Bombyx mori: one gene and its partners. The protein of the gene in region 2 purifies or fractionates together with the protein of the main gene of each other region. This does not show direct contact. Links are inferred from orthologs where the notes say so. Each region holds a gene or a part of one and is shown on either strand. Other genes may lie near its edges. The genes, in order: chromodomain-helicase-DNA-binding protein Mi-2 homolog, metastasis-associated protein MTA3 and histone deacetylase HDAC1.

Region 1 (2,847 bases), on a different chromosome or scaffold from region 2:
GTTGCCTCCCCGAAGTTCCTCCGTAACCGTACGTTAGAACGCTTGCCGCTAGGGGCGCTCTGTTTCAACTGCATACGAATTTGGGTTAACTTTTACGCTATCGAGAACGTTAAAAAACTCGCACTAAACACACAGGAAGCCATAGACGTCAACAATGTACTGCAAAAAATACTGCCACCCATCTCGAGACACGAGTTCTAAGTTTCAACTTCCTATAGTACAACGGTTGCCCACACTTCAAACCGGAATGCGTTATTTTCTTCACGTCAGGAATAGGCAAGGCAGTGGCTGCTAGTGTTGCTACCCATGCCTTACCAGTAAAGATAAACGCGATAATGAAGGATGATCACTAAGGGCGCCTACTCACTTTGCGGTTAGCCGGAATACAGCCAGCCGAGCGGCAGACCGCAGGACGCGGTTGTGCTTGTGGTTAGCCGAGTGGCGGATAGCCTGAATTTCGCTAACGATATTTTCAAGATAAGCATAATATCTTCCCTTCGTCGTTACCACCAAATAAACATTATACATTATTTTCTTAAAATTCACTTTCTTGTGAAAGCGACAATAAATAAAACACAATTCCTTAACTGTAAGTTTTATTCAGTTTTCAATTTTTGGTAAATTAAAAATAAAGATTTCATAAGTCCACAATTCACTTACACGATAGAAAAGATTCATACAGATCAGGATGAAATAAATAATATTATGAGTTATTTTCGCTATGACGTCATGTAATCTATCTGAACTAATCACAAATATAATTATGACTTCGGAGCCGATGTGGAAACAGGAATCTTCAAAAAAGCTTACATCTAATTCACCTACGCGGCGACATATCCGCTCGCTAAAACAAAATGATACAATAATCACGTTATTGTTTGAGCTCTCGATAATTTATTTCAACGTGCATATCGACCAGCGAGAAAATCTAAACGGGCCGTCAAGCATGTCACTTCTAGCCTAAGAATTAAATTATTATTCTATGTTTTACCTGCGGGTTACGTCAAATCGAATATAGTTGTTTAAATTACGGAGTTTATGATTTCTGAAACAAAACAGACCATTTATGAATGTTATAAATTAACAACAATAATTTATTACATCATCGCATAATTATACACTTTGCAGGTATAAAATCCGATTTATTTGATTGATTGATTTTTTCTAAACAAACATTGCAAACGGTTATTGTTCTAATGAATTATAGCTTTATATGTGACATCTTTTCAGAGAACTTTTCTTTAATATTATCTAAAATTCTAACATACGGAAATGGAAAAGTGATCGAATCGTCTAGAAGTGATTTTTACACTACGTGAATCCGAAATTACAATTACACATCTCATTCGAGTTAATGTATCATGATCATAATGATAGTTAAGTCATTTGCAGTATAATTATTTGATATTATTGTAATATACTCATCAAACTATTTAAACTGTCACGATTAATTTGATTGAGAAATACTGATATCAACTTCAACATTTTATTACCATAAGGGTCCGTTCACAAAGATATGAAGCAGATTTTTATCACGTTGGAAACAGAGTTTTGAGTAATCGTAATAAAGTTTATTTTTGCATGTGCACTTTTTTTGTCATTAGCAATGCTTGAACGCGCTGCGTGTGAAATAATAAGAGGAGCCGACCGGCTCTTTCTCGCTCGCGTAACCCATCCGCTTCGATTGCTTGCGCATCCGCTTAACAATCTCTTCCAGCCGGTCTATATGAAATAGTTGGCGGCTCTGCTCCGGCCTATCCCAAACCGTATACGATCCGGTCTGTGTGAAAAGAAAAAAGCGGGCCGATGCTCTCCGAGCCGTGTGAACGGACCCTAATTGTTTTGCTAAATTTGTTGTGAGATTGAACTTCAATATATAGATACTGACTAAAATAATAAACTGATCACAGTTGAGTCAGTCATGGACTCACATTCGAGTTAGAGGATGATGTAGGCTGTCCGGGCACGGAGTACTGCGGTCGGAAGTTGGAGAAATTAGCCGCCGTCGCGGCCGACGCCGCGAACCCGGGGAGCGTGCCGCCGGGCTGGAAGCCGGTCGGGAACTGCGGCATTTGGGCTGCAATACGATTGGAAATTTTATTTCATTCTATTTTTCGTTGTTTAAAACGAACATAAACAGGCAACTTTAACTGAATATCGCAGACAGACTACCTGTTACGAACATATCTGAGAACAAATTTGATGGAATGTGAAACCTCTCATTACAGAAAGAATATATATAAAAAAACCTTAAAGCTAACTCGATCCAATCTCTATTACTAATACTATCGCGTTGTAAGTTAAAAAGGACTGTGTTACTTATATAATGTCAATTGTACGGTCAACATTTTGAAGCATTTTAATCTCATAATTTGCGATTCATTCATGTATGGAAATGGTAGTGCAAGGTAGAAGGGGAAAAGGTCGACCGAAGAAAACATGGTTGGAGTGTGTGAATGACGATATGAGAGAGAGAGAGGAGTGAGTGTTGAGATGACGCCTGATAGAAGAGAATGGAGTAAAAAAATTCGCTGTGCCGACCCCACCTAGTGGGATAAGGTGGAGATAAGGTACTTATTGGTGGACCTCTTGAGAGTCCGCGCGGGTAGGTACCACCACCCTGCCTATTTCTGTCGTGAAGCAGTAATGCGTTTCGGTTTAAAGGGCGGGGCAGCCGTTGTAACTATACTTGAGACCTTAGAACTTATATCACAAGGTGGGTGGCGCATTTACGTTGTAGATTTCTATGGGCTCCAGTAACTACTTAACACCAGGTGGGCTGTGAGCTCGTCCACCCATCTAAGCAATAAAAATTAAAAGGGTTAGCGATTCATTGGCAAGTTAAAT
Region 2 (4,441 bases):
GTAAAACTTGGCAAGCTCGCGACAAGAAAGGAATGTAATAGTATAAGGTCATTTGTTTTAAATTACATATTTTCACACACACCACATTTTAATTTTATTTAAGTTCCTTTCTTGATAACTGTTATATTTTTATTATGTTTAAAATGAACTTCAGTAATTCTATTACATTATATAGGTGTATAACACTGATATTATTAGTGTAGGTATTAGCGACATAAGCAGGAAAAATAGAAGAAGAATAATGTATGATTAAATATATTTATGGGCACTTTGAAAATGGATAATTAACTTATTTTATTAATGCTTTTTTATGAAATACTTTTAGTGTTAATTTATATAAATACGTAATATTCCCGTAAAAAAGGAATTAAATATTTTGAAATTTATATATGCATAAAAATACTATGTTGGCTTATATAACAAAAAATAGTATTTTAGTTGGACAAAACTAAGCATAGGTCATTGAGCTCAATCAATTTTCAAAAGCTGAAGGTCACTGATAAAGACAATTTTATACTTTTATTGAATAAAAAAACACTTGAAAAAAACTACTATTTTCCATTTTCATTATTGAAATTTTAATAATCATCCTAGTGATTTTGAATTTATTTATATCTGTATGTGTATATCATATTATTATGGTTTCTTATTGTACTGCGTCAGTGTGTTTTTAGTGTATTTTCTTTACTCAGCACCTAAATTAAATTTATATTGTGTATTATGCAGATGTATATTAGATATCTGCATGTTTGCATTAAAATTGCAATATGTAGAAATTTATAAATAGATACAATAACAAACTAGAGTAGAGCAGAGACGTTTTGTTGTAGATCAAAATATTCTATTACAAACAAATATACTTAAAATAACACTACGCTAACACAATACTATTAATTTAAACTGAAAGAATGCAATGTATTGTTATAATTCTTTTCCTAGATACCCTGAAATGTTTTAATTCATTAATTGCAGGGTCACTGAATGACAGCTGACAAACCCTTTAAACTTTTATGCCAGAATAGATTTAATAATCACTGTGATCATGGTCTATATCAATCATTGGATTAATAAAATACCTTTTAATTTTGAATCCTTTGCATTTGCAATATTAAACTTTGTTTATTGGAGCATACCTACTGCTTTCAGTACATCTGAAGTATTTGTGGTGGCCTTGATAGAATAAAGAAATGCATGTTTGTTTATGTTATTAGTGTTGATTGCAAAAAATTGTGTTTGACAGCATTTTCAAAATGTTTTTATTATTTTTATAATGAGAACAGTTTGGCAGTAGTTTTAGAGTAATAAAAAATAGTGTATAGCTCTTTCAGGTTTAAAAGATTAACAAAAGATTAACATTAATTCATTGAACTGACAATTTAACTTGATTTAATAGCAAAGTAAAATTTTATTGGCTTTAGAACATATTTTATAATTGTTGTATAGGTAATTAGAATGAAATTGTTAATTTTATGTTTTGGAGGGAAAAAAATATTTCATTTTAAGATTTACTATATTGACCTAAGGTTAGTGTAAAACTACGGGTCAAGATTTAATTTTAAAATTAAAAACTTTAATAATCCCTAATTTATAGTTGATCACAGAGTAATATTTATTTACCCATTTAATGAAATTATTAAATAAAATACATTCCATCTCGGTTCTAACAAAATTATTTTACTAAGAATTAGCTAATTTTGAAACAAAGACATAACCTTAACAGAAGCATTACATTACATGATAGGAAGTGATACAAAAGGAAGGGCTAATTAACATTCGACGCGACGGACGCCGAGTGCGGTACATGAGGCGCTCGTGTTGTTCTCGCGACTCGCGGCATCAATATCCTACAGCAACCGACATCCTCGACTACCACCGTCCATACACAAACAAACCAATAATTTATAATGACTAGCGACGCCACACTTTTACTGTTTACTTTCTTATCATCCCTAAACTCTTCCAAGATATACCAAATAACCCAAAAACAACCAGCTCTCGTATCAAAATGTTTTGACAACATCGAATATAACCTAAAATCTCACGTCAAAATCATCAAACTATTCTAAAAAACTATCATCTCAGTTAGGTAACTAAAGACGCTTCATGCCTAACCGCCCGCACGCAGATACACGAGCCGATACAATGATACCTAGACGTAAATGCTAATGTCCTATTTGATTTGACGAATTTTGGTAAAATATAACTTTTCCGCAAACTTTATCAAACGGTTATAAACACGATAACCTCCACGGATACATAAAAACCGGCATTTTTTGGGTGTTTAATATGTTTGGATTAATTAATATAAGCAATTAATGAAAGTACGACAATCAAAGCAAAGCACCGCTAGTCGGCTGGCGGTGAACCGGCGAAGCTACAACAAAAATAACCAATTATTGCTACTCACCGCCGACTCTGTACATATTCGCAGCCATTTTTATACACAATCACTATTCATTAACACTTAATTAATCTACATCTGACACAATTAATAACTATAACACTATGTAATTGAGCTTTTAACAATGTTTTTCATCACGTTAACTCCGGACGCCTTTCGCTGATCGCCATTTTCTTTCACACTACTAATTTGGCCAGTGCGCAGTCGCACTTTTTGGCGTAAACTTCCTGCTTTTGAAACAAAGCAATGACATGTCATTAATTTTGTGTCCACAAATAAAATCCAAATGATTATTATTTTGAATTATAAAAAGTATTGTTTGAAAATAATATCGTCCATTGAAAATTTATTTTACGATGTCCTAAAATAAAAAAAATAATTCATTCAACCACGTTTCGTTCTTTTAACGGGAACAGTGTTGACAAGATTTTAATTATATTAAATATTTACTGTAATTTTTTTTTCAACAAGAAGTAAGAAAGTTTCTTTAATTAAATAAATTTTAACATAATATTTATTTGTATATTGAAGACTGAATATAATAAATTGTGTTTTATATCTAAAATTAATTTTAATTCGAATTTGGAATGTGGAAAGGAACGTCAGAGAACCATAAAGAAAACCAAAAATTTTTATTTTTTTTCTCCCTTAAAAGTATTTTTATTTAAAAATGTTATTTATATATTTAAAGATTTATTAATTTGTGGTTCGTTTGATAGTAAAATTTTAAATTATTTTTATATGTTGTGATGGATGGCGTGTAAAAATGTGACGTGGCCAGTATGACAGCTGATTTGTCTATGGTGTTGACAACTGCCAAATCAGCCAGCCTCTCCAGTCTGCTTGGTTTCTAAAAAATTGAGAAATTTATGGGATTTTTGAATGAAGACATATTGTGATTTAAGAAATTTGCTCATGTGTTTATAACTGGTTCGCCGCATGACTTTTTGGTACGTACATTTGGTTAATAGTGCTTCTAAAGTTACCAGAGTCTGTGTGCATTTATGATGTTTTTGTAATGTATCTTTTTCGTATAGATCGGCGATATGGCCACATACGAGGAGTTCATCCAGCAGAATGAAGACCGCGATGGCATACGGTTCACTTGGAACGTATGGCCATCAAGTAGAATTGAGGCTACGAGGCTTGTTGTGCCTTTGGCTTGCTTGTACCAACCGCTTAAGGAGCGCCCCGACCTACCACCGATACAGTACGAGCCTGTACTCTGTACACGAAATACATGCAGAGCTATATTGAACCCAATGTGCCAGGTGGATTACAGAGCTAAATTATGGGTCTGCAACTTTTGCTTCCAACGAAACCCAGTGAGTACTTGAAGAAATTCGCCACTAACTCAATTAGTCTAATGTTTTTTTCTTTTAAAGTACTTATAGAGTAATCAATATATTTTAATTTCAGTTTCCACCTCAATATGCTGCTATATCAGAACAGCATCAACCTGCAGAACTGATTCCTAACTTTTCCACCATAGAGTACACAATAACGCGAGCACAGGCTATGCCCCCAATCTACCTGCTTGTTGTTGATACTTGTTTAGATGAGGAAGAACTTGGGGCACTCAAAGATTCCTTGCAGACTTCACTTAGTTTAATGCCTCAAAATGCACTCGTTGGACTAATAACATTTGGTAAAATGGTACAGATTCATGAATTAGGTAAGCAATATGCTTAAGATGTTATTTTCTTTGTTTATATCTCTATCTAAAATATAATATGTAGTCACAGAAAAAATTAGAACAAAAGCTTCCTGCAGACTGAGAGAAGTATCAAATTAACATGATTAACCATTAAATAAATATTATTAAATAAAGTTTCTTTCCTCCAATGAACACTACGCTAACTCCAAATTTGTAGCTTTACAGGAGGAGCATTTAAATGAAAAAAGTTGATAAAATCTTTATAATTGCAGATATATTATGTTTTTTTCTTGTGTAACTAGCTGATTTAATCTTCCGTAGAACCCCATCAATAACATCAATACTTTTAAAATAGAGAAGCGATTTGTGTGAAAAATGAAAAT
Region 3 (4,268 bases), on a different chromosome or scaffold from region 2:
AAATATCTTTGTGCTAATCATTCAATATTACTCAAATAAACTTTAATGTTTTGAACAAGTTTAAATAGAAATAAGTAATGTAATCACCTGTTCCAGGAAAATATTCTCCATATTTATGAAAGGAAACGGTCATTACTCTGTCCGTGGTGTAGAAAGCTTCTTCAACACCATCACCATGATGCACATCTATGTCAATATATAGTACTCTTTGATGGTATTTCAGCAACTCCAATATGCCAAGAACAATGTCATTAACATAACAGAAACCTGACGCTTCAGACTTCTTTGCATGATGGAGGCCACCACCCCAGTTTATGCATATTTCTGAGGCCTAAAACAATTTATTTTTTTTATTTTTTATTAGGCTCACAATACACATCACAAGCTAAAGATACATAAAAAACACAAATAAAAAAAAAACAAAATCTGGCTTGCAACATAAGTTATGTGCGCACGACAAAACTATAAAGTGCTGAATTTGTATATCAACGTTCCTTACAATTACGACAAAACAACACGATAACGAAAACTAATCTAACTTATAGTGTAAGGAAAAAAAAAATTATAACAATAATAAAATCAGTACAAACATGTTTTAATTTTATAGTTATAAATAACTATAAATGAAACCTATATAACTATATAATTATAAAATTAAGAAAACTTGCAGAATCAAATTAGAAATCTCACAAGATAAGAAAAATCTATTGTTTTATTGTTTTAAAATCAATATAAACACAATTTAAGTGTTCTATTCATCTCTGACACAGTATCAGTTAATATCAGGTTGGGGCTCATCTGTCTTTAACCATTTTAAAGTTAAAACACTAAAAAGGTAAAATTATAATAATTTTAACAAATGAAAATAATACTTTCTCATTGGCATATGTAAGTAGAGGATGTAATTAAAACTACTTTTATTGTTTAATGTCATGTATACAATTGCTGTTATATTATTTCTGATTTTTTAAATAAATTACAGTTTTCATCGCCACTAATTAAACTGAAAAACTTGTTTTAACAAAATAAAATAAATAAAAAAATAAGACTAATTACCTGCTTATTCAGTTTTACAGCTGCTGCAACTGAACCCCCAGCAGACAACTGACAAAATTCATACAGGCCATCAAAAACAGGACAATCTTCACCTACATTAACTGCAAAATGTATATTAAAATTAGTCACATTCAATAAGTTGAATATTTTCCATATCATCCCTGAATGTGATCAGGCACTAATAAAGGTATGTAGTTTATAGGATATTACCCATCAGTAGATTGAGGGATAGGTCAAAAATAATTTGGTTGATGCTTTGAACTATAGGAACTTTAACAAAAAACCAATAGGATTGTACACCATTTTCACCATACTCTTTAAATAAATATGTACATTATAAAGGTTTTCTTCCTGCAATAAACAGCAGATACATTGGTTTCAACTAAACAGGCTGCAGACAAGGAGAGTGCTCATACAGGAAAGTAGTTTTTTTTCTTTATAATTTTGGTATGTTATATCTATACTTATCAAGCAGTGTGACAATTGACTGACACAACTAGATGCTGTGGTATAGTCAAAGATTTGAATTTAGGAATTTTTTTCAGTGTCATAGCAGTGAATCAAAGGAATTTTCCACAATTTTACACAAAATATGCTGTATTCAATCTATTATTTTCATCATCTTTTTATACAAATTATGAATATAGTAAGATTCCACTGTAGTAGATTCACATTATTGTAAGCTGAACATAGTTGAAACTGTGGGACAAATCTATTATAATATTATACACTGAAAAAATATAGTTTAATATAAAATAACACACTAAATAAGTAACTCTACTGTTATATTAGCTTTAACAGGTAAGTCTTCAAGGGTAATACATTTTCATTAAAGCATTTATGAATAATTAATACTTTTTTTAAATAATATTGATAATAATTAGTAATAACTTACATCTCTGCATTTGTTTGTTGTACTCAGAAACATTGTCAGGTCGAATAGAACGCAGGAATCTAATGTAATCATCTGAATGGAATTTTGTCATTTCATCAGCTGTGGCTTTGTGAGGCCTCTGTTTAAAAATATATAATTATAAAATCTCAAATCATTGAAGAACTTACACTTAAAAGGTAATTTCAGTACTCACATAAATCTCCATTTTTCGATAGAGTCCATAGTTGAGGAGTAAATTGTGGGTCATACGTATGCGGTGAGGTTTCATTGGATGCCCTTGTCCGTAATAGTAGTTTCCAATATCGCCTTTAATAAAAATAACACGCATTATTTTCAACTTTTTATTAACATGTTACTTAAATCATTTTACGGCTTCATATTTAGCCGTCTGTACCTCGTACATCGTAATACGAGCAAGTCCGTGTACCCAATAGGAACGCGGAACGCTGTACAGACGTCGTAAAATGAAACAATGAACTGAGTTAACAATGTCATAAAAATCCTAAGACAAGCTTTAAAATCTCTGAAGTTCTTAAAAGAGCTAGGCCGTGTGGAAATTTGTATTTAAAATATGAATACTACGCATATTAATTATTTATAATACAAAAACTAATTCTTAAGTTACTAGCGATGTAATGGAGATCCGTGGCGGGTAAAACTTTATTTTACTTACTGTCATAATAGTAACACACTCTTTTCTTACTGTGCGGTTGCATAGACATTTTTAATTATTTCTTCAACGGTTACTTTTTAATAAAATTATTACAATATACTTAAAAATGTTAAAGAGAAATAAAAACCACACCGCTGTGCTTTAATTTGACAATCCACACAAAAAAACTTCATAAAATAATTGAAAGATGAACAAAATGCAACTTCAGAGTACGACAATTTCATTACAGTGAAGTTGACTGACCTAAAAGTTACAGATATTCAATGAACGAATGAATGAATTGATTAAATTGAATGATTTTTAGTAGATTAAATATAGAAATCAAGTGAAGCCACAGTTCACAGTAGGTAGTAGCATTACAATCATAAGCATGAATTACTTGGCAGCTAGAACAGCCCCTTAGGCCAGCGATCGGCTTGCGGCTCGCATGCTGCTCTTTAGCTCCTCAACTGCGGCTCTTCCGCGAAATGTTTACCTAGTTCAGGCACGGAATATCCCTCATTATCTTATTTTTTTAAGAGAAGAGCAAACACTTTTAAAATACAAGGTTATAAAATTCTGTTAGAAAAATGGTTCTTTGATTAAATTTCAATTGTGTGTCTCTCTATTTGGCTCCCAGGGAATAGGCAGGGGAAAAAAATAGATGGTAATATTAATAGATTTTTATTGTTAGTAGCATTTTTTTTATTGCTTAGATGGGTGGACGAGCTCACAACCCACTTGGTCTTAAGTGGTTACTGGAGCCCATAGACATCTACAACGTAAATGCGCCACCCACCTTTCTAAGGTCTCAAGTATATTTATCTATATTGTTCAAGGTAGCAAGTTCAAGTTCCAAGTGGAAAAGTCTATACTGAGGGAAAATTTTCATATCATCATCATCATCATCATCATTGAATTTATTGGCAATATACTTATGCTGACAACCATACGGTCTACTTGATGGTGTGTGGTCACCACAATACACAACAAAACTTACCTACTGCATTTTTTATATAAAATTTAATAGAACCATTCGTAGAATTCCGCACGTTGCCTCTTATGTTATTAGAAATACACGGTCAACATAAAGGATACGATATTCTAAAAAACTACCACAGCTGAATCTTTATATATATATATATATTCATTTTTTTAGCAATTCATTTATCTATATATATAAAAATGAATTGTTGTTCTAACTTAGTCTCGCTAAAACTCGAGAACGGCTGAACCGATTTGACTAATTTTGGTCTTGAATTATTTGTGGAAGACCAGAGAAGGTTTAAAAGGTAGATAAATATGAAAATGCTCGGAATTAAATAAAAATAACAATTTTGTTTTTCCTTTGATGTGTCCCCGGTCGGGTGAATTTCTTTTTTCTTTCATTGATCGATTGAGGTACTACGAAGTCTGCCAGGTCAGCTAGTTTTAAATAAAATTGTAACAAAATGTATCTTTGGGAATTGAAAGATTGAAGAAGCTGCAGTTTACGGCAAGTGCGTAATTTTATACTCCTTACGTACATTCCTAATTATGTCCAAGGAAATGGTAGAATTCACCTTGGAAGGTAGAAGAAACTTAGGAACTAGAAATCATATTAATATTGTAACACTGAAATTAGTTCACGTGAACTTGTAGCAAAGGTTTCAGGAATTTGTACCT

Evidence for each region.
Region 1: the proteins of metastasis-associated protein MTA3 (region 2) and chromodomain-helicase-DNA-binding protein Mi-2 homolog fractionate together in Drosophila melanogaster (co-fractionation; 3 studies listed by BioGRID, with this or other methods). This does not show direct contact. The link is inferred for Bombyx mori from reciprocal best matches to the Drosophila melanogaster genes MTA1-like and Mi-2.
Region 3: the proteins of metastasis-associated protein MTA3 (region 2) and histone deacetylase HDAC1 fractionate together in Drosophila melanogaster (co-fractionation; 3 studies listed by BioGRID, with this or other methods). This does not show direct contact. The link is inferred for Bombyx mori from reciprocal best matches to the Drosophila melanogaster genes MTA1-like and HDAC1.

The regions. Positions count from the first base shown.
Region 1 is NC_085116.1:13,694,327-13,697,173, forward strand, and holds the end of chromodomain-helicase-DNA-binding protein Mi-2 homolog, read right to left. Parts: intron 2,078-2,847; coding exon 1,932-2,077; intron 1,046-1,931; coding exon 1,037-1,045; 3' UTR 992-1,036; intron 845-991; 3' UTR 584-844; downstream 1-583. UniProt on the Drosophila melanogaster protein: ATP-dependent chromatin-remodeling factor which acts in nucleosome-remodeling by catalyzing ATP-dependent nucleosome mobilization. Involved in regulating transcription. Plays a vital role in development.
Region 2 is NC_085131.1:3,800,255-3,804,695, reverse strand, and holds the start of metastasis-associated protein MTA3, read right to left. Parts: upstream 2,837-4,441; 5' UTR 2,436-2,836; coding exon 2,408-2,435; intron 1-2,407. Other genes in the region: protein transport protein Sec23A, read left to right, coding at 3,448-3,726, 3,821-4,076.
Region 3 is NC_085117.1:13,611,206-13,615,473, forward strand, and holds the start of histone deacetylase HDAC1, read right to left. Parts: upstream 2,889-4,268; 5' UTR 2,674-2,888; coding exon 2,625-2,673; intron 2,258-2,624; coding exon 2,145-2,257; intron 2,070-2,144; coding exon 1,952-2,069; intron 1,158-1,951; coding exon 1,057-1,157; intron 332-1,056; coding exon 88-331; intron 1-87. UniProt on the Drosophila melanogaster protein: Catalyzes the deacetylation of lysine residues on the N-terminal part of the core histones (H2A, H2B, H3 and H4).